Linked DNA regions of Tamandua tetradactyla. The protein of the gene in region 1 interacts with the protein of each later gene in a pairwise test. Links are inferred from orthologs where the notes say so. Each region holds a gene or a part of one and is shown in the gene's direction. Other genes may lie near its edges. The genes, in order: WASHC3, TXLNA, HSBP1 and PBXIP1.

The links.
Region 2: the proteins of WASHC3 (region 1) and TXLNA interact in binary tests that used the Homo sapiens proteins (3 or more experiments, as listed by UniProt). The two-hybrid records come from large-scale screens. The link is inferred for Tamandua tetradactyla from reciprocal best matches to the Homo sapiens genes WASHC3 and TXLNA.
Region 3: the proteins of WASHC3 (region 1) and HSBP1 interact in binary tests that used the Homo sapiens proteins (3 or more experiments, as listed by UniProt). The two-hybrid records come from large-scale screens. The link is inferred for Tamandua tetradactyla from reciprocal best matches to the Homo sapiens genes WASHC3 and HSBP1.
Region 4: the proteins of WASHC3 (region 1) and PBXIP1 interact in binary tests that used the Homo sapiens proteins (3 or more experiments, as listed by UniProt). The two-hybrid records come from large-scale screens. The link is inferred for Tamandua tetradactyla from reciprocal best matches to the Homo sapiens genes WASHC3 and PBXIP1.

Annotation. Positions count from the first base shown.
Region 1 is NC_135333.1:172,203,381-172,211,000, reverse strand, and holds the start of WASHC3 (WASH complex subunit 3), read left to right. Parts: upstream 1-4,607; 5' UTR 4,608-4,742; coding exon 4,743-4,793; intron 4,794-5,232; coding exon 5,233-5,331; intron 5,332-7,620. UniProt on the Homo sapiens protein: Acts as a component of the WASH core complex that functions as a nucleation-promoting factor (NPF) at the surface of endosomes, where it recruits and activates the Arp2/3 complex to induce actin polymerization, playing a key role in the fission of tubules that serve as transport intermediates during endosome sorting.
Region 2 is NC_135328.1:193,695,621-193,703,415, reverse strand, and holds the start of TXLNA (alpha-taxilin), read left to right. Parts: upstream 1-4,787; 5' UTR 4,788-4,911; intron 4,912-5,124; exon of another isoform or gene 5,125-5,390; 5' UTR 5,391-5,513; coding exon 5,514-5,691; intron 5,692-6,296; coding exon 6,297-6,635; intron 6,636-7,795. UniProt on the Homo sapiens protein: May be involved in intracellular vesicle traffic and potentially in calcium-dependent exocytosis in neuroendocrine cells.
Region 3 is NC_135342.1:78,500,078-78,508,015, forward strand, and holds the start of HSBP1 (heat shock factor-binding protein 1), read left to right. Parts: upstream 1-4,936; 5' UTR 4,937-5,069; coding exon 5,070-5,114; intron 5,115-5,701; coding exon 5,702-5,768; intron 5,769-6,323; coding exon 6,324-6,442; 3' UTR 6,443-6,444; intron 6,445-7,869; 3' UTR 7,870-7,938. UniProt on the Homo sapiens protein: Negative regulator of the heat shock response. Negatively affects HSF1 DNA-binding activity. May have a role in the suppression of the activation of the stress response during the aging process.
Region 4 is NC_135330.1:7,950,949-7,958,357, reverse strand, and holds the start of PBXIP1 (pre-B-cell leukemia transcription factor-interacting protein 1), read left to right. Parts: upstream 1-4,396; 5' UTR 4,397-4,567; coding exon 4,568-4,670; intron 4,671-5,032; coding exon 5,033-5,082; intron 5,083-5,767; coding exon 5,768-5,872; intron 5,873-7,409. Other genes in the region: SHC1 (SHC-transforming protein 1), read left to right, coding at 389-587, 664-733, 813-947, 1,092-1,330, 2,185-2,313. UniProt on the Homo sapiens protein: Regulator of pre-B-cell leukemia transcription factors (BPXs) function. Inhibits the binding of PBX1-HOX complex to DNA and blocks the transcriptional activity of E2A-PBX1.

The DNA of each region.
Region 1 (7,620 bases):
CTCAGTGAAGACACTGTGAGATACTGATTATATGATTTGGATAAAATATATGATAAATGAATATATCTCAATAATATGTGACAAAAATAAAGAATTTATGCATGATAAAATTAAATAACATCAATTTATAGTAATCTGCTATGAAAACAGAAAACTATTGAAAAATCCTTAAGATTTCTATTGAATGAATATATACAAGTGGTATGTATAGTCTCTGCCCTTTGAAATCGATATTCATAACAATCTACTTGTTATTCCTATATAAATGAAATCTGGTAATACATTTCCAATGAAAGAAAGCCTGGAGGAAAAAGTACATATTTCAGAAACCTTCCAGCATTTGGTCAAGACTCCTAGTTAAAGATTTTTAATAGTCCTGGAAATTCTGTTATTAAAATGTGAATGGCACTGCTGTCAGGAACTATGGATGACTGATTAATTAAAATCATCAAGAATCCTAGGAGGCAGAAAGAAACTGCCTCTCTTCTTTCATAACTATAGCTTACATCTTGTAGCATATTTGTCTCTTTTTTTGAAGGAACCAAATTACTTTTTTTTTAATTTTGGTCACTTGACCAACTGAGAACAAGCCCATGTTTTTATAGTTTAATTTGATATGTGTGTATATGTATGTATGTGTACATATATAATATACACACTGTTAGTTTGTAAGCTGCCAGTATGCACTATAGCAGAAATGGAACAGCTTTAAAAAGGGAATTTAATAAGTACAGGTTTACTGTTCTAAGGAAATGAAAGTGTCCAAATTAAGGCACCAACAAGAGGTTACCTTACTCAAGAAAGGCCGATGGGTCAGGAACAGCTCTGTCAGCTGGGAAGGCAAGTGGCTGGCATCTATCTGCTGGTCTCTTACTTCTGGGCTCCGTTTCCTTTTCAGCCTCTGTTCCTGTGGGGTTCCTAAGTTTGCTTCTCCAGGGCTGGCTTTAATTTATTAGCTTCCCTTGGCTCTCTCCAGGTTCTAGCTGGCTTAACATCTCATGGTGACATCAGCTGGGCTCCAAGCATCTCCAAACATCCGTGTCTCTGTTCTCAAGTGTGGCTTCTGTCACTTCCGTTATTTCTAACTCTCTCCAAAATGTTTCCTCTTTTAAAGGACTCCAGTAAACCAATCAAGACCCACCTGAAATTGGTGCAGTCACATCTCCACGTAATCAAAAGGTTATACCCACAATTGGGTGTGCCGCATCTTTATGGAGATGATCTAATAGAGTTTCCACCTAGAGTATTGAATTAGGATAAAAGAAACAGCTGTCCCCTCATGATTGGATCAGGACTAAAACAGGGCTTTTCTGTGGTATGTAATACTTTCAAATCAGCATGCATGTGCCGTGCGCACACACACACACACACACGCACACACACATGCCTGCTACTTGTACTTCACCATGAAATCATAAGGTAATTAGGTTTTTTTTGCCCCCTTAACTGGGAAGCAGTGGACAGGAAAGCTAGGCTGACCGGCTGGGTATTCTGCTCTGGGAGGGGAATGATCAAAGAAGAGGAAGAGAAAATGCGGGGATTGCTAAAGCCTGAGATTCACAGAGCACAGAGGTAGGGACTAGGAGTTGGGGACGAGTCAGAAAAGGCAACATAGAAAGTTGAATGAGGATGGGAGTCTGAGGCTAAAAGATGACTTCGGGGTCCAGAACTAATTGTGATGAACTCAAGGCACAGAATGGCATTGGAAGAGGAAAGGGTGGGGACTCTAGGAGTAGGCAAAGCTCTGGAAAGAGTAAGTGGTGGTAGTATAATTTGGGCAGAGAATAAAAAAGTATTTGCAAAGTCCCCTTGGGGGACCCGGGAGAAAGGAGGGAATATTCATATCTCCCACCTAGGGGATTGCTGATGTTCTCACAATCAATTTAATAGGCCAAGCCTCTTTCTTGGGGCTTGCCCCTGTGAAACTTATTCCTACAAAGCAGAAGGTAAGCCTACTTATAATTATGCCCAAGAGTCTCCCCCAGAGAACCTCTTTTGTTGCTCAGATGTGGCCTCTCTCTCTCTCTTTCTCTCTCTAAGCCAAATCGGCAAGTGACCTCATTGCCCTCCTCCCTATGTGGGACATGACTCCCAGGGGGTGTAAATCTCCCTCCCTGGCAATATGGGACAGAACTCCCAGGATGAGCCAGGACCCAGCATCATGAGTTTGAGAAAACCTTCTTGACCAAAAGGGGAAAGAGAGAAATGAGACTAAATGTTTCAGTGGCTGAGAGATTTCAAGTAAGAATTGAGAGGTCATTCTGGAGGTTATTTTTATGCATTATATAGCTATCCCTTTTTTGTTTATGGTGTTTTGAAGGGGCTGGAGGGAAGTACCTGAGACTGTTGAACTGTGGTCCAACAGCCTTGATTCTTATAGACAATTGTATAACTATAGAGCTTTTACAATGTCACTGTGTGATTATGAAAACCTTGTAGCTGATGTTCCCTTTATCCAGGTTATAGGCAAATGAATAAAAAGAAAATAAGGACAAATTAATAGGGGAGATAAGAGGTAAAAAATTTGGGTAGATTGCAATGCCAGTAGTCAATGAGAGGGAGGGGTAAGGGGTATGGGATGTATGGGTTCCCCCCCCCCTTTATTTCTTTTTCTGTAGTGGTGCAAGTTTTCTAAAAATGATCATGGTGATGAATATGCAACTATGTGATGTTGTGAGCCATTGATTGTATACTTTGTATGGACTGTCTGGTGCATAAAGATATCTCAATAAAAATATATTTTTAAAAAAAGAGTAGGTGGTGGTCTTCCTCCCGTCAAAGGTGGGTAGTAGGTGAGCATGTAGCTTTCTAGGGCTCAATCTCAGTTCTTTTGCATAGCCTGTTCCCCTTTGTGGAATGCCCCTCCCATACTCCTTCACCTTGATAACTTTTGCATTTTCAAATCATGCATCCAGGGAGCTAGCTCAAATTTCATCAAACTGGGTTAAGTACTCCTCTTCACAGCATACTTTAGCCTAGCCTCTATCACACTATTATTCTCTTTTCAATTTTCTTTCTCCATTCCTGGACTGGAAACAATTTAATATCGATTTGCTTTCCATATAATCTGTTTACTTCTATGAAGGCAGGAATTTGGGGGCAGTTCTAATCAGTGCAGTATCCCCAACTCATAACAGCACATAGTAGGGACTATCTGTTGATTGAATGGATAACTCTTCAACACATTCCAACATGCCTGGATCATACTTAGCCCTCAAAACTGTGTATTAAAACTGAATTTTCATTTCAAAGGAGAGTGATATGCATTTAAAATTATTTGTCCTATCCTTCCTCACTTCTACCTCCCATTATTGATGTGTACAAACACTATTCTCAACTTTTCTGTTTCCAGCATTTATTAAGTATCTATGTGCTAGTCACTGCTTACCCTTTTCCAAATTCCAAATCCTGTTTCCTGCTTAACTTCTTTCGCTTACTCCTCATCACATATAGAAGCAATTTTCAAACCTTTCAGTTTAGAATAATCCCTAAGGAGTTACTTAAAATGCAGTTTTCTAGGTCTCATCCCCCAGCACCTTTTATTCGGTTTATTTGGGATTAATCCCTGGAATATGCAATTAAGAAGCACCACCCCCTTGCAAATATTGATTTAGATTGTCCATTTGCACGGTCACTGTGAGAACCACTGCCTATAGGATCAAAGCTGACACAAAACGCCCTTAATGAGTGTGTTTCTATGAATCCAGTCTCATTTCCTATCATTCTCCATTTGGAACTTCGTGCTTCAATAGAACCAAACACTACTCCCTTTCCTTAAGGGCCGCGCCGCACTCCCGCAGGCCTCCCACCCCACGTGTCTGGCAGGCCAAGCCCGCTCAGCGTTAAGCAGCTGCTCCCCAGCTCCTTCCCTCTATTTTCTCAGCGCACCGCGGCGAGCCTGCGTCTATGGCCGCACAGCACTCCGATCCCGGCCACGTGCGTCTGCGCAGCTCTCACAGGACTGTGTCGGCCTGTCCGTCCGGAAGCTGCTCTTCCAGATTCTGCACAGCCGAGTCATAACCTTCTTGAGGGCAGAGACTGTGGTTCCTGTCACCTTCTCCGTCCTCAGCATCGTGCCTGCTTCACGGGACAAGCCGAAGCTTTGGGTGAGGTGACCGTCCTAAGTCACACAGCTGCTACACTGCAGTCAAAAGCTTCACATTTCAGTGTCAGAGCTCATTCCCAGGTGACCTTTTCCGCGATCTAAAGAAGCCATTTCCATTGCTTTATTCCTCCCACGTGGCAAGTGACATTTGATTTTCTGCTGTGAAGTCCCACAGGGGCAGGTCTTACCTCCCTCAGAGCATAATTCGTCTCCGTCTTTGCGTCCCCACAGGACCTAGCAGAGTAGACCGAAAATACATATTTGTTCAACGAATGGCGGAACAGCTATTTACATAGCAGGCCAGACTACGCAGGACAGACCTCAAACCGACACAACCCCCGACTCCTTTCTTTCTTCACCCCCGTCCGTTTTCGAGACGTCTCCGCAGCCCAGCTCCACTCGGCGCGCCCGTGGGCGACGTCACAACCCGGCCCTGGAACTACCAGTCCCAGAATGCCGAGCGAGGGGGCGGGCCTTCCGGGACCTGCCGCGTGATTGGCGCCCGGAGGCTTTCCTTCCGGCGGGCCGGCCCCGGAAGGCGGCGTTCGGGAAGTGCCCGACGTGAGGCCCGTGTTGGGTGGGTCCCAGCGGGGAGGGCTTTACGAGGGAGCCCGGGGGCCCCCCACCCTCCGAGGAGATGGATGAGGACGGGCTTCCTCTCATGGGGTCGGGCCTAGACCTGACCAAGGTTTGTAAAACACAGAGCTGAACTTCCGGCGCCCGGGGAGGCGGATGGGGAGGGAGCCCGGCCCCGGGCAGAAGCCCCCGCCCGCAGGCCGCACCGCCCCTGGCCCCAGCCTCGGCCTCTGCCGGCCTGGGGAGGCACAGCCCCGCAGCCCGCCTCGCAGTGGGGCCCCCGACCCCACGAAGCGGATGGGGTCGCTCCCCCAGCCCCCGCTTCCCGGGTCGCCCGAGGGCCCCTTGAGCTCGGCGCCGGACGTTCTTTCTGTCCGAGGTACTGAGACTCCAGAGCCCGTTCCGCCACTTGCCCGCAGCCTCTGTCCTCTTCGGACCCCCGCCCCGCTGTCCGGGGAAACTGAGGAAGCGGCTCTGAGGGCTCCAGGGGGTGCCTGCGAAGGCGTGGCCGGCGCCTCACGCCGCGTCCTGTTTGTCTCCGCGCCACGCAGGTGCCCGCTATCCAGCAGAAAAGAACGGTGGCGTTTCTGAATCAGTTTGTGGTGCACACAGTCCAGTTCCTCAACCGCTTTTCCACGGTGTGTGAGGAGGTAGGTCCTGTGGCGGCTCCTGGAGTAGAGTTCCGAGTGGCCCGGAGAGACCCTCGAGCCGTCTCGGGTTCGGCCGATGCTGCCCCGCGCCCCTGCGGACCTGCGTGCTCAGCGCCCGGGTCCGATGGCTCGGGCGGGTTGACTGCGACTAAAGCGAGCAAGAGGACTTCCCCGGGGCCGCTGTTGAAAACATCCTTGATAGATGGGTTCACCTTACCCCGAAGGTTCACATTTTTAGGTGCACAGTGTTTCAGTTTATATTAAAATCATTTTACATTCCTTGATCCAAAATATGATTAGGAGAGGTAGCCTAGAAACATAACTTTAGCTTCCAGTATCATTATGCAAATAAAGGTACTTGATGCAAATGACTCATGCAGTGAGGATTAAGTACCAGATGAAGGATTAGATACCAGATCCAGAAAAGCCAAAAAAAGGGAAACGGGTTGAAATCGGGTTTAGGAAAGAACAGAAGAAATGAGAAGTGGGTAAATCATGGATCTTAGATAATTCACAAGTGAGACAACTGAGTAAACAGTATCGAGTTCACTCTATTTTATGTATAACCTTAGCAAGTGGAATTTTTGTTAGATGTGTTATTAATAAAAGTTGTATGGACACAGGAAGACAATGTTCACTAATATGAGTCCAGCTACTGTGTTTGTCTGCTTATCAAAATCTTCTGCCTTCTCACCGAGACAAATAAAAATGCAGCCTGAGCTCATTCATAGCGTAAGGGGATCAATTCAATATACTTTGATAACAGGCGGAAAGACTAGGTGTTTGCTTCCATGAACTTAATCTTGTAATGCTGCCTGTCTAAACGGGATATAGAATTCACTGAATAAAAAACAGTAAGCTGAGAATTTAGCCCTTCACTTTTCACACCAGGTGGGATAGAGAGGTTTCTGGGAAGGGCACATCCGAGGATTGTTTGCGGAAAGGAGCAAATAGTCCATCTCCTTATTCCTCATCACCAAATTAAGAACTAAAACAGACGATGATAACAAAACAAGCACATACACCATTGAAATCAAGTTGATTGAGCTGCTCTAAGGCAGGGATAGCCCCTCACTTTTGTAGCACCTAACAGTTACCACCGCCTGAAGAGTGCTATTTACTGACATTTAGATCAAAAGTAATAATGATCTCTTGATTGAATGCTTATGAATTGTCAAAGCCTTGTGGTGTAAAAGCCTCATGATTCACTTTTTTTGAAAAATACCTTTTTTAAACCAATTTTTAGTTGTAAAATACAGTATATATATATGTGTATATATGCACACACACACAAGGAAAAGAAAGAAAACAAGCAAAAATTTGTGACGCACACTTCAACAAGCAGCTACAGAACAGTTCCCAGAGTTTGTCATGGGCTAAATTCAGATTTTTCCTTCTAGCTGCTCCAAGACACTGGCAGCTTTATCAGTGTCATAATATTGGAATCATACAGTATCCTTTTGTGTCTGACTTATTTCACTCAGCATATGTTTTGGGACACTTTTGTCTAAATGCTACATAATATTCCATAGTGTGTATATACCATATTTTGTTTATGCACTCATCTGTTGATGGATGCCTGGATTGTTTCCATCTCTTGACAATTGTGAATAGTGCCTGTTCTAGTTTGCTAGCTGCTGGAATGCAACACACCAGAGACGGATTGGCTTTTAATAAAAGGGGATTTATTTTGTTGGTTCTTCAGAGGAAAAGCAGCTAACTTTCCACTGAGGTTCGTTCTTACGTGGAAGGCACAGGATAGTCTCTGCTGGTCTTCACTCCAGGCTCCTGGGGTCCAACAATTTTCCCCAGGGTGACTTCTTTCTGCATCTCCAAAGGCCTGGGCTGAGCTGTAAGTGCTGAGATGAGGAATGCCGAGCTGCTTAGCTGTGCCACGTTGTGATCTCTCATTTAAGCACCAGCCAATTAAGTCAAACGTCACTCATTGCAGCAGACACGCCTCCTAGCCAACTGCAGATGTAATTAGCAACAGATGAGGTTCACGTACCATTGGCTTATGGCAGCAACAAGACTAGGTATGCTCACCTGGCCAAGTTGACAACTGAATCTAACTAACACAATGCCTCTGTGAACATCAGTGTGCAAATGTTTGTTTGTGTCACTGCCCTCAACTCTTCTGGGTATATAGCGAGTAGTGGTATTGCCGGGTCATAGGGCAACTCAATATTTAGTTTTCTGAGGAATCGCCAAACTGATTTCCACAGCAGCTTAACCATTTTACATTCCTACCGACAGTGAATAAGTGTTCCAGTTTCTCTGCATCCTCTC
Region 2 (7,795 bases), on another chromosome or scaffold:
GTCTCTAGAAACCTGCCTTTTAGTTCCAGAGGTTCCCACTGACTGCCTAGCCCTGGTGTTGGCAGAATCCCTCTTGTAGAACCAACCACATGTGTTCCACCCTCAGCTGGCCAGCCTAGTTACTTGGAGCAGTGGGCATAAATGACTCTTCCAAGGAGCAGGTATTGATGACCCCACTTTCAAGGATCCTTGGTGTTCTCTCTTACCTGGATCTACGTTAGATCTGTTCCTTCCACTCTGTTTGCCCTGGAGGTCACCTTCCAGAAGGCCTATTTTCTGGAGATGAATTGCACAGATTCTAGCTGCTACTGTACTTAGTCAAGGGAGAGGGAAAGAAGGCTTTCAGGCACACATGTTCTGTTTCATTCAGGCTGAACCAGTTTAAAATGAAAACCATCTAGGAGAGTGAATTGGATTTCCCCGTCTTCTCTTTGGAGTTTCCCATATTCTAGGAAACTGGAAGGAAAGGAGATGAAAACTTAGCAATACTTCCTTCTTTGTCCCACATGCCCCTCTTTGAAGGTGTCAGCTCATTTGCCCAGGTCTCATCTCTTCTCTAAACTCATTCAACTTGGTATCCATCATCTTGGGTTTTCCTTAGTGATTTATCCTATAGTCTCATTCTAAATTCTCAGTAGAAGGCAGGAAGCCAAATTCTTCAGGTCCCTGTACACTCCCATGGGGGCTTCAGGTATGTTATATGTGCCTGTCTGCCTCACTGACAGGCTGGGGAAGGATCTAGGGCCAGGACTCGGAGCCACAGCAAATGTTCATAGCCAGCAACATCTTCCAGGTAGGACTACCCTAGAAGTGAATGAGTGTGGAACTGAGATTGTTCAGAGGACATTTCTTCCACAGCCATGTTAGGATTACACTAACCTTGTCCAGTAGTTTTTTTTGTCATAGTTTGATTCTTTTGTTGAGCCAACAAGCTGAGAATTTGGCCCTATAGGGATTTATCTGGTAGGCACTAGGCTGCTATTTGGCCAATGCCTTCATAATGATTCAGCCATCCATTTCTGATCCCCTAGCTCCAGCCCTGAATTAAGACCATGGCAAGGGAAGAATTTGAGGTCAAGACTAACCAAATCTTGTAATTCAGCTATTATTTTTCCTCTGAGAAGGCATTTTGCAAATACTGTTAACATTTTTCATTTATAGCAAAGCAGAAAATAACTTTTTAACCTATGTTTCTTATTCCTTGCCTGCCTGCTCTACTCATACTTCCCATCTGGCCCCTATAGGTCAGTATTAACTCTTGCCTGCTACACCTACCCAGGCCTGGGCTGTATGCAGAACCAAAATTGGCTATGAGAGTTAGAAGAGGCCCAGAACACCCTATGAGAGCTGCTGTGTGGTGTAAAGGTCTTCAGTGAGCTTGGGCTTCACTGGCTAGGCCAGCCCAGCTTCTCATCTCCATTAGCACTTGCCTGAACCTCTCTGCTGAATCCCGTGTTCCCTTATGTATGTCTAGTTTTCAGCCCCTAGGTTTGGGAAGAGAAAACTGCCATCCCCTGGGACAGTGAAGAAAGGCATTTCTCAAAGGTTCTGAGACTGGCTAGAAACCTTTGACTCAGAGAATGTCCTCTACAAGAAACCTTGGACCCTGAAGTTGAAATTTGGTTTCTTTATCCAGCTTTTGTGCGAACTGCCTTTGATTGAACCACTAGAGAAGGGAAAGGGTTATGGGGCCCTAGCCACCCAAGGCGTACCTGATGTTCCCTAAGAACAGATAGGCTTCCCAGCTACAGACCCTAGGAAGGTGAATACATCCCTTCACCTCACTGGTGTTTCAGAATTCATTTCCTTTTATTTTTCCAAGAACATAAACCGTCTGGCTATTTTCCATATTCTCAGGGCCCCTAGGGAGACAGAGATACAGCTTGATGATTTCAGAGCATAGGCATTGAGTGTTTAGTCCAGAAAAATGATATTTATATACACATCCAAATTTGAAGAGAAAATGTATTTCTTTAGGTTTCAAACACTGTAATAGATATAAAGCAAAAATAAAAACCTGTTGCAAAGTTCTAAATTGTTTCTTTTGATTTGGAGTGAAATTAAACTGAATTTTTTTGGAAGTGAAGGAGGGGAGGGTGTTCATGCCTGTAGCCTAATGTAGGAAGAAGAATTGCACCGGCCTGCTCCTGCTAGACTTCTTTTTTTTTTTTCAAATAATGAAGTTATAACGTACAATAAACTACATAAAGTGTACCCTGTGATAAGTTCGGACATATACTACCATGAAACCACTATAATCAAGATAGTGAACATAAAAGTTTCCATATTGGGCGGGCCATGGTGGCTCAGCAGGTAAGAATGCTTGCCTGCCAAGCCCGAGGACCCGGGTTCGATTCCCGGTGCCTGCCCATGTTAAAAAAAAAAAAAAATTAAAAAGTTTCCATATGCCCCTTTGGAGTCCCTCCTTCCTGTCCTACCCTCAGCAATTACTGATCTGCAGTGTGCCACTATAGGCTGGTTTGCATTTTTTAGAGTTTCTATAAAGGATGTTGACATCATTTCAGTCCACTACTCTTTAAAAGGCTTATAGGCTTAAGTGAACATTATCCTCATTTTGCCCATGAAGAAACAATACCACATACTTTGAGATCATATAGTTTTGTTTTTCGTTTCATGTTTTTTTTTTTTTGTATGGCAGAGTCACATTTCATTCTTTTTCCAGATTGTAGCACCATTATTGGTGCACCATTTGTTGAATTTTTTTGTTTGTTTAGTTTTGGGAAGTGCATGGGCCAAGAATCGAACCCAGGTCTCCCACATGGCAGGCAAGAATTCTACCACTGAACTACCCCTTGCACGCCCAAGATCATATAGTTTTATAAATGCCTTGCTTCAGTTTAGATTAATTTCTAAAGCAGAGAAGCAGCCAAAAGTTGATTTTGCCCAAAAGAAGAGTTTTGATTGGCCAATAGAGTGTGTTTAAGTTTTAATTAGTTGCCAAAGTTAAAAAAAAGTCAAGATAATATCTTGTCTTGAAAAATATTGAATATCTGGCACTGTTCGGCCTAAGTTTTCTGCTTGGCAACAAACTGCAAAAACTGCTCTATTTTACCATAATCCTCACTATTCCCAATTGTATTCCTCACTCTGTCAAGTGCAAATATCACTACCATTTTTCTTTTCCAGCAAAGGAGAAAGTAACATTTTAACTCATATTTCTATCAATTTTTCTTATTGCCCACCTACCTCCTCTATTCCTATTATCATATACCTCCACAAGACATTTCCAACATGCTGTTATGGAAATAATCAAGTACGTAGGGTAAAGAAATCTGGATTTCAAATCCTGGCTCTTTAGGACACTGTCTTTCTGAGCCTCAGTTCTATCATCATACCATTATACCACATTGCTTCCCACTCAGTGTTCCATCAGACACTGGTGCCGCCTACGGGCTGGGGAAGATTAGGCCCAGCACTGCCCTGAAATCTTAACCAAGCCTGTGCTGTTAGACTGGTGCTAGGCTCTGGAGCTAGAAAATTTAGTCAACAGTTCTTTGATTTGTAAGTAAATAGTAATTTCAACCGTTTCGAATAATTCTGTAATTGAACTCTGTCCAGACTAGAGTGAGGACAGACTGCAGAGGATTGAGAACATACTGAAGTGACCTGTAAGCATAGCCACAGAAAATTTTGTTTTTGCCAGAGGGTCATTTTGAAAGAGGGAATATGACCTGCAAAAACCTGGGAAATTGCAGAAATACTAAAAGCACAGTTGGAGCCAAAAGGCAGGGAGAAAGAGGAGAGTTGGTTGGAAAGAGGCAGCAGCCAAACCATGTAGGCTTTAAATTCCAGGCACAAGGATTGTCTGCCATTATTCCATTATCTATAGGCGGTGGCAATAAAGAATTGCAATCTCACATTTGGAAGGAAAAAAAAACTTGGCTTTCTTTTTTAACTCTGGTGCTACTGGGACTTACTCTGTAATAGGTAGGCCAGAGAAGAGACTTAGGAATCTTTGCCTGAAGCCAACCTCTCCTGCAGGAACCCCTCAGACCCTTCCAAAGAGGGACTAATGGCCAAGTTGGTGATAGGAAAGAGGGTAAAAAAAACTTAGTTTCACAAGTTACCTTGACATCTTCAGCGTAAATATGCCATGATTATTTCTTTGGTTATTCTAGGTGAAAGACAGTGACAGACTTTCTAGTTTTGACTCCCTGGTCTAACTACCCATTTGTAGTATGACCTTGGACAAGTTATCTTTTACCCCACTGTCCTCACCTGTAAAATGGGAATAACAACAGTACTTACCTCCATGAGTAGTTGAATATTGAACTAGTAGATACCAGAAATGCACACAGCAAACGGTCAACAAACTGTTACTGTTATTATTAAAAGCCCCTCCCTTGAATAAGCAAATAGGAACCCAGTCACTACACAGCAAATTAGTGTACTCAGGACTGGAATACTGGTTTGGTTCCCAGCTCAAGATTCTATCCCTTGCCCTGACTCCTCGGAGTTCGTACATAGCCACAGAAGTTCACAGTAAAGAGTGAAGGGATGGTGGAAGCATGCAAAAAAGAATAACCAGGCGCCAGGCCTGGGGACTGAGTCATAGCTTCTACGTAGTATGAAAAGAGGTTGACGTGGGTATTGTGCAGAATGACTAGCTGCTTTCAGAACTCCTGAGTATCTGACTGAGAAGACTAAAGCCCTATGTACTGCATCTTGGGAATTGCGGTCAGCTACCCCGGTGCATGTAGGGACTCGTAGTCCTCTCCCTCCTCCGCCTTCCCAACGTAAGCGGCCTCAAAAGGCGGCTTCGCTTCGTCTTTCCCAGCAAGCCCCGCGAGAGCGCGAGCTATTGATTGGCGGCGGCGGCGGCACTGCCGGCAGCGGTTGCCCAGGGTTTCCGGTGCGAAGCTACAGCGGGTGAAGCCGTCGGGCGGTGAGGTGCGTACTGTGGCGACTAGTGGAATGAGACGATCGGAGGGCCTATGGGCCTTGATGCTTCCGGCCAGTGGGAGGAATCACGCTGACTCCACTCGTGGGCTCGGGCCGGAGAATGGGTTAATGCCTATGCGCATGCGCGGGGGTGTCGCGCACACCGTTGGCGGGCGCGCGGGGCGTGGGTGTCTGCGCGCGCATGGGGGCCCACGTGGTGCTTGGGGGCGGGGAGAGATCGGGAATCGAGCCTCCCGCCACGTCAGTCTCCGGCCTTGAGCCAATCCCGCTCTTTGCCTGTGGTGAGGGGGCCGTGTTGTGCCGGGAAGTGGCTTCGGGGAAAAAGAGGCCTCTTTCCTCGACTGCTCCAGGAGTGGAGCTCGGAAACCTGCCTTGGCAGGCCAAACTGCCCCGTCAGCCCAATGACCAGCAGAACCGTTGGCTCCCTCCGGTGAAGGCCCGCCAATCTGTTTTTGTTTGTTTTAAAGAGCTTTCTCGCCCGGTCTTGGAATTTCTGATCCAGAGAGGCTGCGAAGAATTTCCAAGTCTGGAAAATAGCAGCTGTGTTTGTTTCTAAAGGATCTGCTGCTAACCTAGCATCGCAAACCACAATGAAGAACCAAGACAAAAAGAATGGGGCTGCCAAGCAATCAAGCAACACTTTCAATCCAAAAAGCGGCCCAGGGCAACCGGAAGCAGGACCGGAGGGAGCCCTGGGGCGGTCCAGCCAGTCGACTCCGGCGACAGAAGCTGAAGGTTCCTGCTGCCAGGCCCCAGGGAAGACTGAGGGTGTGTGTCAGCTCTGCTTTTCCGGTGGTCATGGGGAGGAATCTGTGGTACGCAGGTTTAGCTTCCGGAGTGAGAGGCCAGAGATGTAGATTGAGAGAGGACAGTGCTGAGTCTGTGTGACCCCCACCGTTTCTTGGGGAGTTGGTAGAACCTCCCCCTCCAGCCACAGGAACAGAACTCTCTTGAGAAAAGGCTCTAACAGGATTAGCCAAGTGACAGTCAAATGAGAGACCCAACCTGCAAATCCAGGTCCTGTTAGGTAACAAATCAGTCACCAGTGGGTCTATATTTGAGGCATTTCTGGAACTTTTTAAATAGCAAACTATGGCTTTAGGGGGAAGGAGAAAGTGATGGACTAGAAAGTGAGCTCCTGCTATATGTCTAACTGGTGCAATGTGCTTTACGTACTTGACCTCTTATGCTTACAACACACCTTCTTGGGTGGTGGTAAGGGGTAGTTATACTATTTTATAGGTAAATAAAATGAGGCTTAAAGAGGTTAGGCAGTGTTTAACCCCAGCCAGGGAGTTTAGCAGGGCCTGAAAAATCCCAACCAGTGGTATAACCATCTTATTTCTCATTCTGTCCCTCATCTGCTGCTGTAGGGGCTCAAGCCAAAACTGCTCAGTCTGGGCCCCTACGTGATGTCTCTGAAGAGCTGAGCCGCCAGTTGGAAGACATCTTGAGTACATACTGTGTGGACATAAATCAGGGGGGCCCAGGTGAGGATGGGGCCCAGGGTGAGCCCACTGAACCTGAAGATGCAGAGAAGTCTCGGAACTATGCAGCAAGGAATGGGGAACCTGAACCAGGGACCCAAGTTATCAATGGTGAGAAGGAGACCTCTAAAGGGGAGCCATGCACAGAGGAGATCCGAGCAAGTGACGAGGGCGGAGACCGAGACCAACGAAGGCCACAGGAAAAGAAGAAAGCCAAGGGTCTCGGTGAGCAGAGGGCAGCTACATGTGAGGCTGCTGAGGGGAAGGCATTGGGACCCAACATTACTTGTGCTAACTGCTCTGCCAGAAGTTAGAGGAACACAATACTCCACAGAGCAGTGAACCATCCTAACTTAGTTCAGTGGGTGGCATAGAGGTCTACAGGTTGTTTCACTGCACAAGGGCGCCTGGCCTTGGGAGCATGTGAGGGCTGACATCCATTCTGATCTCTCTTTGAGAAACAGAGAGCCAGAGGCCTGGGTGACCGTCTGCCAGCCAGAACTATCCCTCATCTGCTGTGTCACCTTGAGCAAATACTTCCCTCCTTCTGGCCTTAATTTCAGCTTTGCTTTGTGAAAGGATTGGACTAGACTGGGGTCAAAAACTCAATTGTCTGCACAGGCTAGCCAGGGAGCCCCATGAGGACCAAGAGAGTTGCCTATTTCATTCACTTTATCTCAGCCAATTGATAGCATGCAAAACTACAGGCTCGTGCATCTGGAATTTTGTTTCTTTGTTTTTTAAGAAAAAACCAAGAATCTAAAGTAAAATCTCTAGATTTTTAACTGTTGACAAAATGCTATGAGCCAAACAAAACCCACCCATGGACTGCATTTGCCCTGTGTTCTAGAGATTTGCAGTGTCTGTACCCATCTCTTGGAGCCTCCCAAGGCTGACACTAGAGGTCCCTGGGTGTAAGTGGCCCTGCAGGGTAGAAAGGAGATTGACTCAGGCACAGGCAGTGCAGAAAAGATGGTGACCGACAGTCACTTGACAGCCTTCAGAATAAGGGTATTAAGAATTGAGGTTGGGTGACATTATATGCATATCCTTTTCCCCACTTTCCTACCCTCTGCCTGTGGCCCTAATTTAAAGAGGAAATACTAAAAAAAAAAATCTTACGATCACGTATATAGAAGATATATACTTTTTTTTTTGTATGCTGTATAGTGGGGTCACATTTCATTCTTTTTCCATGTGAATATCCCGTTACTTCAGCACCATTTGTTGAATCGTTTGTTTTGTTGGTTTCTTTGTTTGGGAAGTTGTATGGGCCAGGAATCGAACTCTGGTCTCCCGCAAGGCAGGCGAGAATTCTACCAATGAATTCTACCAATGAAAGTATATACCTCGCACCCCGAGGTATATATTTTTTAAAATTCATC
Region 3 (7,938 bases), on another chromosome or scaffold:
ATCAATGAACTAAGCATACAACTTAAATTGGGGTCGGGGGGAAGCAGAATAAATTCTGAGAAAACATAGGAAAAGCAATGAAACCAAAAACAAACATACAATAGAAAGGATCAATGAAACCAAAAGCTGAAAAGTGTAACAAAACTGACACCCTCTGGTACAACTGATAAAGGAAAAAAGAAAAGGTCCACATACACAATTTTAGGAATATAAAAATGGTCCTAACTAAAGAAGCTGAAAACATTTTTTCAAAAGAGATCTTATCAACACTTACTTGATGCCAACGAACTTGCAAATTTAGATAAAACTGATACACCCTGGTGTGCAGCCCATAGAGAGCAGGAAAATAAGTTCTAAACAAATAATTGGACTCAATATATTAGAAAAAGCAAGTGAGAAAAGAACTGAATAAGCATTTCTTTGATCTGGAAATTGCATGGACACTGGTGATTTCAACCAGAGCAGTTTCAATGGAGAGAAGCAAAAGCCAAGCTATGTATAGGTAGACAGGCACTGTGCACTTCAGGTTGTATAAGCGACAATAAACTTTAAAGAAAACAAAATTGCATGAGCAGAAGGTAAGAGAGGGAGGCAGTGAGTGACAATGGCACACTTTTCTCCTTCTAGAACCTCAATTATGGAGCAGCAACCAAGAAGGCCAGGAGAGGCTCCCTTTGGTTGGGGTGGTTTGGATTTTCTATTGGTTTTCACCACTTTTATATGCTGAGAGAAAGGAGTCAATGGGAAAAAGGAGGGGAGGAAGCAAGTTGCTGGAGTTGATGATGGGGTCCAGAGTCCAGCCCTCTACAGTGGACAAATGGACAGCTTTGGACATGGAAAGGACACTTCCTCCTTGGAGACAAAAAGGGCCAAAGCCAAGACAGGTGTGAAGACAGGTGCATATGAGGGTATAGAGGGTAGGAATTAAGTAGGCTTGTAACTGAGATTTTCTATTTTCTCTGCAAAATAGAACACAGAGGCACCCTCTGAACGTGAAGGGAATGCATGCTGGGTGTGAAGAAACTGGAAAAGTCTGGAATGACCACTGAAGGGTTAGGAGCTCCAGCAGCCCAGGCCACTCAGAAGAAAGCAGCATTATATCTGGAAACTGCCCCAGCAGCACCACCTCAGTCAGGTGTCAGAACCAGAAAAACAAGGCTGCAGCAGCTCGCACCCATGACAGAGCTGATCCAGGTGCAACCAGGCAAACGAATTCAAAGGTTTCTCCATGGTCCTGATATGATAATTTCTTCCACAAGGCAAACAAAAAAGCTCATCGACATGCCTATACACGTACACATACACAGCCCCCATTCTAGAGCTGGATAGAAAGAGCGCCGGAGCGGCCCAGCTGGAAACAAAGTGCCATTATGAAAGTACCACATTGAGCTCACATAAAACCAAACCTTCCTGAAAGGGGAAAAGAATTAAAACTGCAATGATTTTGAAAGAGCAAAAAAAAAAAGACAACTATGACACTTAAATAAAGGTTTAAAACTAGGGTTGTTAAAAAATAAAAATGAAAAGGTTAATTGCTAGCACCTTACACATAATACAGTAGTTTTGTTAATGGAACAATATTCAGTTAGGTTCAGTGTGTCAGCTTCACACAGTATATGAGCCATGACCATAAATTAGTGTCGCTTTCATGGAAAGCAGCTGTTTAACAGACCTGTGGTCTCCACACACAATGCACTCCATCTTTCTGTTTAAGTGCAAAAAAAAAGTCTCCATAGAAAGAGTGCCAAGTTTGTTGCTGTTTATGCAAAGAAAACTTCAGTATTTTAAAACCTCAAATCTCTTGCCAGAAAAGAAAATCCAGATCCTAATACTAATTCACATTCCTTTGTTTCTCATAACAGTAAGCTAGGATGGCTTGCAACCTAGCTAGGGGTACGCAGACTTCTATGCTGAGCTCAAATAAGAAAGTCTGAGATCCTATCCAGTCTTGGCTACTCTCTCAAAAGATTCTGGAGCGTTATGAAAAAGTCTTTACAAAATAGCAATAATACTAATTTCAGGTGGCATTGCTTCACCAGCCTTCACTCTCAATATATACAGGGGAAACATTCTTTTTTTTTTTTAATGGCATTTTTTTAAATTTATTTATTAATTAAAAAAATTTAACAAACAAAATACAACATTAACATAGATAATCAGTAATTCACAATATCATCACTTAGTTGCATATTCATCATTTCTTAGAACATTTGCATCCATTCAGAAAAAGAAATAAAAACACAATAGAAAAAGAAAGAAAACGAAAACAGAAAAAAAAAGATTGTACCTACCATACCCCTTACCCCCACTTTCACTGATCACTAGCATTTCAAACTAAATTTATTTTAACATTTGTTCCCCCTATTATTTATTTTTATGCCATATGTTCTACTCGTTTGTTGACAAGGTAGATAAAAGGAGCATCAGACACAAGGTTTTCACAATCACACAGTCACATTGTGAAAGCTATATCATTATTCAATCGTCCTCAAGAAACATGGCTACTGGAACACAGCTCTACATTCCCCTCCAGCCTCTCCATTACATCTTGAATAACAAGGTGATATCTACTTAATGTGTAAGAATAACCTCCAGGATAACCACTCGACTCTGGAATCTCTCAGCCATTGACACTTTGTCTCATTTCATTCTCCCCCCTTTTGGTCGAGAAGGTTTTCCCAATCCCTTGATGCTGAGTCTCAGCTCATTCTAGGATTTCTGTCCCACATTGCCAGGAAGGTCCAACACCCCTGGGAGTCATGTCCCACGCAGACAGGGGGAGGGTGGTGAGTTTGCTTGTTATGTTGGCTGGAGAGAGAGGCCACATCTGAGCAACAAAAAAACTCTCTTGGGGGTGACTCTTAGGCCTAAATTTTAAGTAGATTTGACCTATCCTTTGTGGGGTTAAGTTTCATATGAACAAACCCCAAGACTGGGGGCTCAGCCTGTAGCTTTGGTTGTCCACACTGCTTGTGAGAATATCAAGAATTCAACTTGGGGAAATTAAATTTCTCAGGGGAAACATTCTTAAGAGACCCAGCAAGAACAAACCTATGTTTGATGAACAAGTATTGAGAATTTTAGGCAAAGTCTACAAGTCCTTCTGAGTGGTTCTCAACCAAGGGTGATTTTGTACCCCAGGGAACATTTGGTGACATTCTGGGTTGTCACAGCGGGGGTGGGTGTGAGGGGGGGTGGGGTGGATATATTATTAGCCTCTAGAGAGTAGAGGTTGGGGTGCAGCTCAACATTCCACAGTGCACAGGGCAGACCCCTCCCACCACGACAGAGAATTACCCAGCCCCCCCAATATCAAGAGTGCTGAGAACCCCTGCTCTGAGATCGGAAAAGTCAGAGAATTCTGGAACGATGGAAAAATAAAGTAAAAAAGTTCTGAGTCTGAGTCCTGTGTCTATTATTTTCTAATTTGATGATCTTGTTCAAGTTTCATAGCCCCTCTGGATCTGTTTTCTCAAAACTATAAAGTGGTAATAATTACATCATAGGGTTCTGAGGATTAAATTCAAACGCTGAGAGTTTTTTTGTAAGAAATGTGGTAAAGCAATAAGCAAATACCAGTTAACAGCAACCAATTATAAAAAGCTTTGTCTTTGCAAAGAAGTGTCCTCTTGACTTTAACAAAGCAAGCTGCTGCACCGTTGACGTGGGAAGGAAGCTCTCCATGTGCCCAGACAGGGACAGGCCAAGGAAACTGGAGTCTGAACACTTCGCGGCCAACCCAGGAGGACAGGCTGCAGTTCCAAATTTGCTACAGGTGCTGGGGGTGGTTCTCGCACACCCTCCCTCCAGCTAAACTCAGACTAGGAGGTCCTTAGATGAGTTAAGGCATGCAGAACACACCAGGCCATGGTCAAGGGCTTTCCTACCCCCTTGCCTTGGGACTCCATCCCAAGACCACCTGGGGAGCAGAGGTCCCAACTTATCCTTGTCCTCCCAACACCTGGGAAAATTCAAGGATTGAAAGTTTAGCTCCAGGAGGCGGGGGCAAAGGCTTTCTTTGAACATGACCAAATTCTTTACTACACAGAACACACCCTGGCCTTTGGCCTAGGCTCTCCAACATCAAAACCACCCTATTTGTCTGAGCATCGACATTAAGCACTGAAATCCAGTCTCTTGCGCCGCAAGAAACTAGCCTTCCCCACTCAGCCAGCCAAGCGGCTACAGAGGCCCCGCGGCCGTCCGCAGGTGAAGTTGCAACACAGGTCTACCGCGCTGACAGTCAGGGCGCTGGTAGGGGCTGAGGGGCTCCCGGAGGGCGGCTCGCGGGCAGGACCTCGTGCGGGGGGACGTCCGCTCTTGGCGGGAGGTGTGTCATGCTGCCCACAAGCCGCCTGCCCCTCGAGGGCTGAGGAAAATACCGCGCCCGAGGGCAGACCCGCAGCATCACGGCCGTCCGTCCGGCGGGCGCGCCCCTCACCTCTCTGGCCTCAGTTTCCCCTCCGGATGAGCCCGGGTTCAGGGCTCCGCGAGCCTCCTCGAGGAGCGGCAGCCACACGAGGCGGCGCGCACATGCACGCGGGAAGTACGTCCCGAGGATCAAGAGCGACCAAACTACCCGGGACCACCACGGGGAGGCAGGCCAGAGCCCAGCCCCGCGTCCCACGGCCGCTTTTGCGGCACGTGTTCCGCAGCGAGCGAGCCACCGGGAGGAGCCCGGCGGGGCGACACGAGGAGGGGCGTGGTGGGGAAGACACGAGCGTGGGCGGAGAGACACGAGGTTACACAAGGCGACGAGGAGGGGCGGGGATAGGGCTGGAGGGGCGGAGCGACACTGAAGGGGCAGGACTCTGGAGGGCGGGGCGAGGGGCGTGGAGAGGCTCTACGGGGAAGGTCTAAGAGGTGAGGGGCCGGAGCTTGCTTCGGAACGGAAGCGCGAGGCCTCGAGGCATTTCCGCCGAGCGGCGTGGACTACAGCTCCCACAATGCCCCGCGGTCCCGCACCTGTCTTCTCACTCGCGAGAAGAAGCCGCTGGGGGCGTCTGCGCGGACAAACGGAAGTATAGGTGACGGGCCGAGACTTCACCGCCAAGCTGGGAACCGGGGAGATGGCCGAGACCGACCCCAAGACCTTGCAGGATCTCACCTCGGTGGTAAGGAAAGCTGCGCTGTCGAGGTCCGCGGGCCGAAGGTGGCGCAGGGGTAGGCCGAGTGACGCAAGGGGTGGTCCGGCCATGCCAGACCGAGGCGCCCCCACCGCGGCTTCGCGGGGCTCCTCTGAAGGCCTAACTGGCCACCACGACCCCGCCAGTTCCGCTCAGTGTAGGCCTGCACCCTGTGCATGCCCCCACCTAGGACCGACCCTCCCTCTGGTTCTCACCCCCCTCCCGTTCCTGAAACTCGCCCCCCGCCCTGGTGACCCCTAGGACTCCGCTAGCATCTCATTCCCACACCCTTCTCTCTCCCCAACTCACCCCTTACCTCCCCTTTGGCACCTCGATGCGTCCAAGCCGTCAGAAAACACCCAAAAGACCCTACTGTATAAATCATGGCAGGCCCAAACTGGAAGGGGCTTCAGTCTCATCAGTCTAATTAATAATTGCGAAATCGGAGGACTGAAGCCCAGTGTAGGAAATACCTTCCTGAGGACCACAGCGCTGCCACCAGGTCTCGCTTCCCGACCTGGCCTTCTGTCTTGATTCCATGAAGACGTCTTGGAATAAATGTTTTCTTTTCTTAGGTGCAGACACTGCTGCAACAGATGCAAGATAAGTTTCAGATTATGTCTGACCAAATCATTGGAAGAAATATCCTTTTTATTGGTAGTCAGTCTCTTCTGGATCTTTGGATCCTGTTTACCAGGTAGTGGTGTGGATAGATGGGTGATTTGCAGCCCAGTTTAATCCAGTCATTTACCAAGTTTTTCACCGAGCCTGGATGTGCTGTTTCCTGAGAAGTATCATGCTAAAGATTCAGGATACAGAGCTAAGCTAGACACATCCTGGCTAGTCTGACCCTTGACTGTGAGATAAAGTGCTTAATATATCTTTCCTTTGATCCTCACAATAACCTTATGCATGGATTATGTTGTTAACTTGATGTAGCTGACGAAGAAACTGAGGTTGAGAAAAGTGAAAAGCTTCTCCAGGATCCAATCGCTAGCATGGAACAGAGTTGGCCCTGGGCATCCTTGCCCCTTGCCCCAGGTTCCTGGACTCCACCACCAGACTAGAACAGGATCCAAAGAAAATTGGAAAACCAGTGTCGTAAGATGGGCGGGTTCAGGCTGTGGTCTGCAGGGCCCTGGAGGGAAAGGATGAGGACTGAGCGGACGTGATATGTGGCATCCCTAACTTTACCACTTGATGACATGAGTAGTCGCATTGACGATCTGGAGAAGAACATTGCAGACCTCATGACGCAGGCTGGGGTGGAAGAACTGGAAGGGGAAAACAAGATACCTGCTGCACAAAAGAGCTGAAGGTGAAGGAGGCTCAATTCTATTTTAAAAACAAAAAGTGGAATACAGAGAGGTACTTCTAAATATAATTTTGAGATAGTCAGATTTTCTCTGGCTCACATCCCAGCCATTATCCCAGCAAGCATTCATTTTATTGTTTCTTCCTTTGGACCCCATATTTTGAAATTTTTCATGCCAAACCAATTATTTAAAATTATCCCAGTTTTTATTAATTGGATCTTTATTGCTTTTGGTTGAAACCCTTAGTTAACATTAGATAACCACTGAGTTTAGATTGTTCTGCTAAAAAGCAAATATGGTGTTGTTGGCCTGCAAAGCCTTATCACTGGAAAATTTTTCATTGGGTTTTTTGAAATACCAAATAAGTCAAGCCCTCTCATGACCACCTTAAAGCCTAAGAACTCTTAAGAGCCTCCTGCACTAGGTAAATGCCGAGACAACGATTGATTTTTCGCAGATGATCTAGAAAGCAGCTAATTAAGCCTCTGCCATGAAGCTGATAGAATTTTCCACTGAATAGTTTCAGATACTAGAAGAAATGCTAGTTAAAAAGAGTTATATTATCAAGAAGATGGATAGCCTTATTCTCACTGTAGTGGGTTTCTTCATTGTAAGCCTTTTTGTGTGTGTGGCGGGTACCTTGTTACAACCCAAAATTAATTTTTAATTTAAATAAACTTTTTCTCTATCTTATTTTTTAGCATTTTAGTCCCTTATAAAAAATGAAATTGGGCAGTGTGATGGTGGCTCAGTGGCAGAGTTCTCACCTACCGTGCCTGAGACCCCGGGTTTGATTCCCGGTGCCTGCCCATGTTAAAAAAATAATGAAGTTTACTGACAACTGTTAGCTAACTAGAGGACCAAGAATTATACAGCAAAATATACCTAATTCCTTTCTTATTTTCTGGCCGACCCAGGAACCAAATTTTAGTTAACTATGCCATATAGGTTGCTTTGAAGTCCAAGAGAATACATAGAGGCTTGAGGGGTCAAAAACTGTTAACTATAAATAAACTAGGTTGGTTCTCTGTGTGACTGAATCACGTACTTGGGTTGCATGGTTTCTGTTATTCTCTCTAGAGATAATGTAGAAACTGTCCTGCCAGTCTTATAAGTTTCCCTGGGTCTCCTCTTATATATTATTTGGCAGCCAGAATTCCCATCAAGTGAATAAGAACATCCTTTCAAGAATTGCAGGACTGAAGACTTCCAAGTGACAGGGAATAATGTAAAGGAATGGGAGCAGAAAACATTTAGTTTTTGTTTTGTTTTTTTTTTTACAAAAAACTTTGCAATTAAAAATCTGTTATTTTGCTGGAATATTGTGCAGATAATTTTTTTTAATTCAGAGAATTCTTATATTTCTATGTATCCTTTTTATTTGTTCTCATATAATGACAAACATGTCATTTTTCCTTTTTAAACAGGTTGCTAATTGACAATGAAATCTGGAACACCGTTTTTACAAGCCAAGAGAAGACCTAATGGCTTTTTGC
Region 4 (7,409 bases), on another chromosome or scaffold:
CTTTAGAGAAGGTTACAAGATTCTGAGCCCCTCCCCGCTATTTGGTGCTTCGCTTTCCCCTTGGGAGATGGCACAGTAATAGGGCATGTGTTTTAAATTCAAAGTTATATTTAAGTCTCAGGTTTTAGTTGTTTGACCTTGAGCAAATCCTTTCACCTCTCTGAGCCTCATTTTCCTTATGTGTAAAATTATAGAAAGAAAAATAACCCCGTCTTCAGGGTTGTGGGGAGGATGAAATGATTGTGCACGTAAAACTCCAGCCTTGGGTTTAACAAGTGCTGAGTGCCCAGTACGTGGCCCCTGTCCTGTTCCTGCCCATTCATTGCCCGCCCCCCCCCCACCCCCTCCTCGTTCATGCCCTCGCCCCTCACTCTGGCCTGCTTCTCAGGATGGCTGGCTTCGATGGCTCAGCTTGGGATGAGGAAGAAGAAGAGCCACCTGATCACCAGTACTATAATGACTTCCCGGGGAAGGAGCCCCCTCTTGGGGGCGTGGTAGACGTGAGGCTTCGGGAGGGAGCCACGCTGGGCGCTGCTCGACCAGCTCCACCCAGTGCCCAGACCCCCAGCCATCTGGGGGCCACGCTGGTAGGTTGCTTGGATGGCGGTGGGCGGGGCCCTGGGCGGGAGGGTCCCTGCTCTTATCTGATTTTTGTCCCTGCAGCCAGTGGGGCAGCCTGCGGGGGGAGACCCAGAAGTCCGCAAGCAGATGCCACCTCTGCCACCCTGCCCAGGTCTGAAGGGAGCTGAGGTGGGCGGAGCTGGGGCACAGGGGGCAGGGCTAGGCTCACTGTAAAGTTTCCCTGTCTTCAGCAGGCAGAGAGCTCTTTGATGACCCCTCCTATGTCAATGTACAGAACCTAGACAAGGCTCGGCAAGCAGGGGGCGGGGCCGGGCCCCTCAATCCTGCCATCAATGGCAGCACACCCCGTGACCTCTTTGACATGAGTGAGTGCTCCTCTTTCCTTTCTGCATCCCCATTTCCTTCTTGGTTCGTCCATCTGCCGTTTCCTTCCTGGCCTTCTCCTAAGTTCTGGGTCCTGGGTGAGGAGCGTATAGGCTGCCTCTCCTACCCTCTCTCTGCACCCTCAGAGCCGTTTGAAGATGCCCTTCGGGTGCCTCCACCTCCCCAGACGTTGTCCATGGCCGAGCAGCTCCGCGGGGAGCCCTGGTTCCACGGGAAGCTGAGCCGGCGGGAAGCTGAGGCGCTGCTGCAGCTCAATGGGGACTTCCTGGTGCGGGAGAGCACGACTACCCCTGGCCAGTATGTGCTCACCGGGCTGCAGAGTGGGCAGCCCAAGCACCTGCTGCTGGTGGACCCTGAGGGGGTGGTGAGTGTGGCAGAGGTGGGGGGAGAGGGGTTGCAGAAAGAAAGATACAGTACTCTGCAGTGCAGCTCTGTTCCTTTATGCATTGCTTCCTAGACTTTCCCATCCGGGAAGCTCTGTACGGGTCTCCCCTGCTCTTAAAAGGTGCCTTGGTGACCCTTCTCCAGAGATTTAGCGTTCCCAGTTTTCTCCTCCCTAAAACTAAGCTGTATTCCTTCCAGCCCTGGCTAATCCTCAAATCCCTGAACCTAAAGCCCATCAGAGCTAGAAGGGGGCCTGAGTGCTCATCTCATCTGGGCCCCTCTTTTGACAGATGAGACCATTCTGGAGTTGTACTTGGTGGGCAGATGATTAGAGGCCAGACCCCTCATCCCTTACAAGTGGAGCCAGGGCCCTCCCCAGCTTCCCTAGACTCTGGACTCAGGGCAGTGCCCTTTTTCCTATCTGTACTGCCCCGGCTTCCCCTCACAATTTTATTCTCTCTGTTATAGCAATCTCAGCCTCCCTTACACATCCTTTTTTGCACGGTGTATCTTCTCGAGACAGGCCAGCTTCCTCCAGGGCAAGGATGGAGTAGCTATCCCTCAGTTTCACGGTTCCTGGGCTGGCATCCCTTCTGCCTTTCCCCAGTTCACTGCCCTGCCCATTCCCATGCCTTGTCGAGCCCCTTTCTAGAGAGGCCTCACTTATCAGGACTGACAGCTCCCCAAGTGCTACCTCCCCACCTCCCCACCCCCATGCCATTTTTTTTCCCCTTTTTCAACCCTCTTGAATATTCCAGCTCCCTTGACCTTGGAGGCTGAGGTCCTCTTATGACACTCTACCTGAATTGTCCCTCTCTTTTCGGACCTTCCCAGGTTCGAACAAAGGATCACCGCTTTGAGAGCGTCAGTCACCTCATCAGCTACCACATGGACAATCACTTGCCCATCATCTCTGCAGGCAGCGAACTCTGCCTCCAGCAGCCTGTGGAGCGGAAACTGTGATCCTTCCCAGTGCCCTCTCCCAGGAGACACCCTCTGGCCCCATCCACTTTATTCCCTGGCTCTCAGGAGTGTTCTGAGGGCTGGATCTTGTGTTGGAGCTGGGAGTGGTGTGGACACGTGGTTCGGCATCCGGCTGAGTGAGAGGGTTTGAGTCATGAGATTGGGGTGGAATCTTGCTTCTCCTCAAACCTCACCAAAGCGTTAATGTACAGAGTGGCTCCCTTCCCTGGGCCTTGTCTGTGCCAACCTGATACCCTCTTCGCCAAGAAGGTGGATTCTTGAGGCCTGGACAGTGCCTCAAGAACGTTCTGTGGTGATAGGCCCAGTGAAGCAATCACCCTTCCAGGGAAGAGGGAATGAATCACAACTTGGGTCTACCCCTAGGCTCAGGATATGCCCCAGGCCCCTCCCAAACCCCCTCCCTCCCCCCAGTGTTGAAACTTTGTGCCTTTGACCATCTCCTAGGTCTGAATATATTTTATGCAAAGAGTTCTTCTTGGGCCCCTGAGGTCAAGGACAGGGGTCCTGACACGTTGGCTTTTGAGACCCTCTCCTGTCTTTGTTCAGCACCTCCTCCAGTTTAGGTTGGGAGAACAGAGGAGGAGTGCCACCTGCCCCCTTTCCATGGGGGATGTATACCCTTAGAGACTGCCCCAGAGCCCCCCTCCCGGCCAGGGGGGAGATGGACTCCTCCCTCCCTCAGTGCCTCCTGGCCGGGGCCCCTCACAGAAGGGGTCTGTATATGACTTTGTAAGCCCCACCCCACCATGTCGCATGCATGTTATACTCTACAGCCAAAGTGCAACCGTTCCCCCTGTAGCCTCTGCCCTGCCTCCGTGGCTGGGGTGGTGCTGGGGGGCAGGGCTGAATTTGGGCCTCCTGTAAAATTAACTCTCCCAAGAGAGTTTTACAGAGCAGGGAACAGGGCCTTTGAGACTCTAAAGCAGTAGACAATCCCTAATATCATTTCTAGATGTGGAACTGCTTTTATTTTTTATTTTATATACATGTATTTTAAGGCTGTAGATTTATTTTTTAATTTTGTTTTCTATGGCTTGTTCTTGGAGCACAAAATGATAATTGATTACGTTTATACATCACTTCTTTGACTTTTCAAAGCCCTTTTACAATTATTGGCATTTTCCTCACCCTATCCCGTGAGGGAATTGGGATCGGCAGCATTAATTTTTTTTACAGGAGCGATCCGAGGCAGAGAGGGGTAGGGCTAGAAAAACGGAGCCTCTTACATCGAGGCTGGGAGGTAGAAGTATGGCTGAAAAAGGTTTCACGAGGGGAGCATTAAAACCTGTGTTGATTTATTGAGCACCTTTTACTTTTGGCGCTGCACTAAGCCTGGCCACCGAGACGGAGAAGACGGCCCTGCCCCTTCTCTTAGGCCTCGTGCATACGGGAGAGTTGACTTTTAATTCTCGCCTCCTTTTCGTGTGTGGATGTTTTCACGGGTTTCACTTATACCAAAGGGAAATAATCCTCATTAAAGTTCGTATTTCTTCTAGCCGGGCCTGTCTCTCGGTCACTCCGCAGGTCCATTGTTCGCCGCGGTGGGCGGGGAGGAGGGAGTGGGGGGGCTCAGGGCAGCCCCGGGGCGGGGCGCGGCGGGACCCCCGGGCCCTGCACGACCCTTCGCCGCCCGCGGGACCGGGGCTTCGAGCGCGGGGCGCGGGGCAGGCGCGGCAGGGTGTGGCGCGCGGGCCCCACGATCCGCCGCGGGTTCCTCGCGGGGACCGCCTCGCGCCGCGGGCTGGGCCGGAGCGGCCAGAGGGCCTGTCGGCGCCGCGAGGCCGGACCCCCGGGAAGCCCGGGCCGCCCCGGCGCGCGCCTCCTCCGCGGCGGCCCGGAATGGTACGGTCCGGCGGCAGCGCGCCCCCAGGCCAGGTGGCACGGGCCGCCCCAGCGGCTGAGACGCCGCCCCCGCAGGCTCGCCCGCAGGCTCGGCTCTCCCCGCGCCGCCGCCGGCAGCTCCCAGCCGCGTCCTGCCCAGAGCCGGGTCCCCCTGCTCGCCGGGCTCAGTGGTGGCGGCCACGCCGAGTTCCGCTTCCTGTTGCTGCGGCCGCGGGCGGGCGGAGAGAAGAGCGGGCGCGCGATTTGCGCTCCGCGCCGCATCTGCTCCTAGCCGCGCCCCGAGGTCGCTGCAGTGCGGGGGCCTGCACTGCCCCTGGCTCTCCTTCTGGGCGATGGTGCAGCCCGAGGGCGCCTCCATCTCCCGCCGCCGCTGACCCCGGTCTCCCACCCCATGGCCGCCTCGGCGCCGCCCCCACCGGACAAGCTGGAGGGAGGTGGCGGCCCCGCACCGCCCCCTGCGCCGCCCAGCACCGGGAGGAAGCAGGGCAAGGCCGGTGAGATCTCTGGGAGGGGCGGGGGGCGCGGAGGGGCCCTAGGAGGCTCGGAAGAGGGTAGGTGGGCGAAGACCTTCAGGGACTGGGGGCACGTGTCACAGACCCAGGGCCCTGGGGTTTTAAGGGACATGGAATTCAGGAGTCACTTGGAGTTTGACGGTATCAAGAGATGGACTCTCCTTCATTTAAGGGAAAAGGTGGCCTAGTATATACCCATGCTCACAATTCATTTTTCACATCACACCCTATGATGTTATGAAGTAAATTAGCAAGTGTATAATGAAGTTACAGGAGTTGCTCAGGGGATGGTTGGGAGAAAAGAAGTTGGGGAAACCTGTGTCTACCGTTTGCTGCTCTTCCAGGTCTGCAAATGAAGAGCCCAGAAAAAAAGCGAAGGAAGTCAAATACTCAGGTGAGTGGTGGCTGGTGGTGGGGGTAATTCCTAGCAGTTCCTTGGGACCCTCTAATCTACCACTTCCATATGTATCTGGATCTTGTATCAGGTACAGAGAGAAGGGAAAGCTGTCATTTTTACTATTTGTGGACCTTTCCCTCAGCATCATAACAAACCGGGAGAAATACCCACCCTTGAGAGGTGATATGGCCAAAGACCCCATTAGGCAGGGTCAGTTCGCCCCACCTGCTCTTCCTGTCCTGGGTCCCTCATGATCATGGCACTTTCCACTTACTGGACTTTCTCTAAGTGCCAGGGATTGTGCTAAGTGTTGTACAGGTTGGGAGATAGATATTGTTTTTATTTTACCTGTTTTTTAAAATCCTTGTTTAGTATGCTGGGGTCTTTTTTGTTCTGTTTTTGCCTTTTTGTGTGTGTGTGTGCTAGGGTTTTGAAACATTTCAGGGTCAGAGTTGGGATTTTAGCCTAATCTCTGCCTGCTTTCAAAAAAAGCACAATGACTGCACTATGCTGTTTGCTTTCTACCCTCTGTTCCTCTGTTATGTTCTAAGGTCCATCTTCATCTAAGATCTGAGCTGGCTTGTACCACCCTCAAAAACATATATTGTGTTTTTAGTGCTCTCCTCCCGGTTTAACTCGGCGTCTTCCTTCGTGACTTTCTCCCTCGTCTGGTCCCCCCCAGGGCCCTGCGTACTCACATCTGACGGAGTTTGCGCCACCTCCAACTCCCATGGTGGATCACCTGGTCGCATCCAACCCTTTTGAGGATGACTTCGGAGCTCCTAAGGTGGGGGGCACAGCCCCTCCATTCCTTGGCAGTCCTGTGCCCTTTGGAGGCTTCCGTGTACAGGGGGGCATGGCAGGCCAGGTACCTCCAGGCTATGGTACTGGGGGTGGAGGGGGTCCCCAGCCTCTTCGTCGACAGCCTCCCCCTTTTCCTCCCAACCCTATGGGCCCTGCTTTCAACATGCCCCCTCAGGGCCCTGGCTACCCACCCCAAGGCAACATGAACTTTCCCAGCCAACCCTTCAGCCAGCCTCTGGGTCAAAACTTCAGCCCTCCTGGTGGGCAGATGATGCCTGGCCCAGTGGGGGGATTTGGCCCCATGATCTCACCCACCATGGGACAACCTCCCAGAGGGGAGCTGGGCCCCCCTTCGCTCCCTCAACGCTTTGCCCAGCCAGGTGCACCTTTTGGCCCCTCTCCTCTCCAGAGACCTGGTCAGGGGCTCCCCAGCCTACCCCCCAACACAAGTCCTTTCCCAGGCCCGGATCCTGGCTTTCCTGGCCCTGGTGGTGAGGATGGGGGGAAGCCCCTCAATCCACCTGCTGCCACTGCTTTTCCCCAGGAGCCCCACTCAGGCTCCCCGGCTGCTGCTGTTAATGGGAATCAGCCCAGTTTTCCTCCAAACAGCAGTGGGCGGGGTGGGGGCACCCCGGATGCTAACAGCTTGGCACCTCCTGGCAAGACAGGTGGGGGCTCAGGGCCTCAGCCTCCCCCAGGCCTGGTGTACCCATGTGGTGCCTGTCGGAGTGAGGTGAACGACGACCAAGATGCCATTCTGTGTGAGGCCTCTTGCCAGAAGTGGTTCCACCGCGAGTGCACAGGCATGACTGAGAGCGCCTATGGGCTGCTGACCACTGAGGCCTCTGCTGTCTGGGCCTGTGATCTCTGCCTCAAGACCAAGGAGATCCAGTCCGTCTATATCCGCGAGGGCATGGGGCAGCTGGTGGCTGCCAACGATGGGTGACACTGGTGAAGGGCCCAAGGAAGTGCTCTTCCAGGGTGAATGTTTCCATGCCTGGCTCTTGGTCCTTGTTTCCACTGGCTTCCTATCCTCATGGGGCAGAAACACAGTGGCTCCAGGGGGGAGAAAAGGAACTAAGGTGGGCAGGCAGAAGAGGGTCTGGACTGCTCACTTTTCTGGAAACTTGCACATTGAGATCTGTAGAGGTCCAGGAAACCAAAGCCTTGCTGAGCAGAGCCATTTTTTGGGTGGCAATCTCTGGAGGCCTAGGGGTATGGCGGCAAGAGAAAAGGGGCTGGAGGAAGATCTGGAGAGCAAGGGGGTTCCCTCTGCTGGATGCCCTCTAACACCTGTGCCTAATACCCCTATCTAGCTTCACAGCTCCAGCCTTACTCTTTGGAGTCGAGTGTTAAAGGTTTCTGACCAGAGGAGTTCGGATCTCTTCCCATCCGTAGTAGCCCTGTGATGGGCTCTGGGAGACAGCTTTAGGGAATAAGTGGGGATTTTCTCCTCTTTCCACCCTCCCTTTACCTCCTCGAAGTCCTACCCAACTCCTCCCCCCTCAAAGAACCAAATA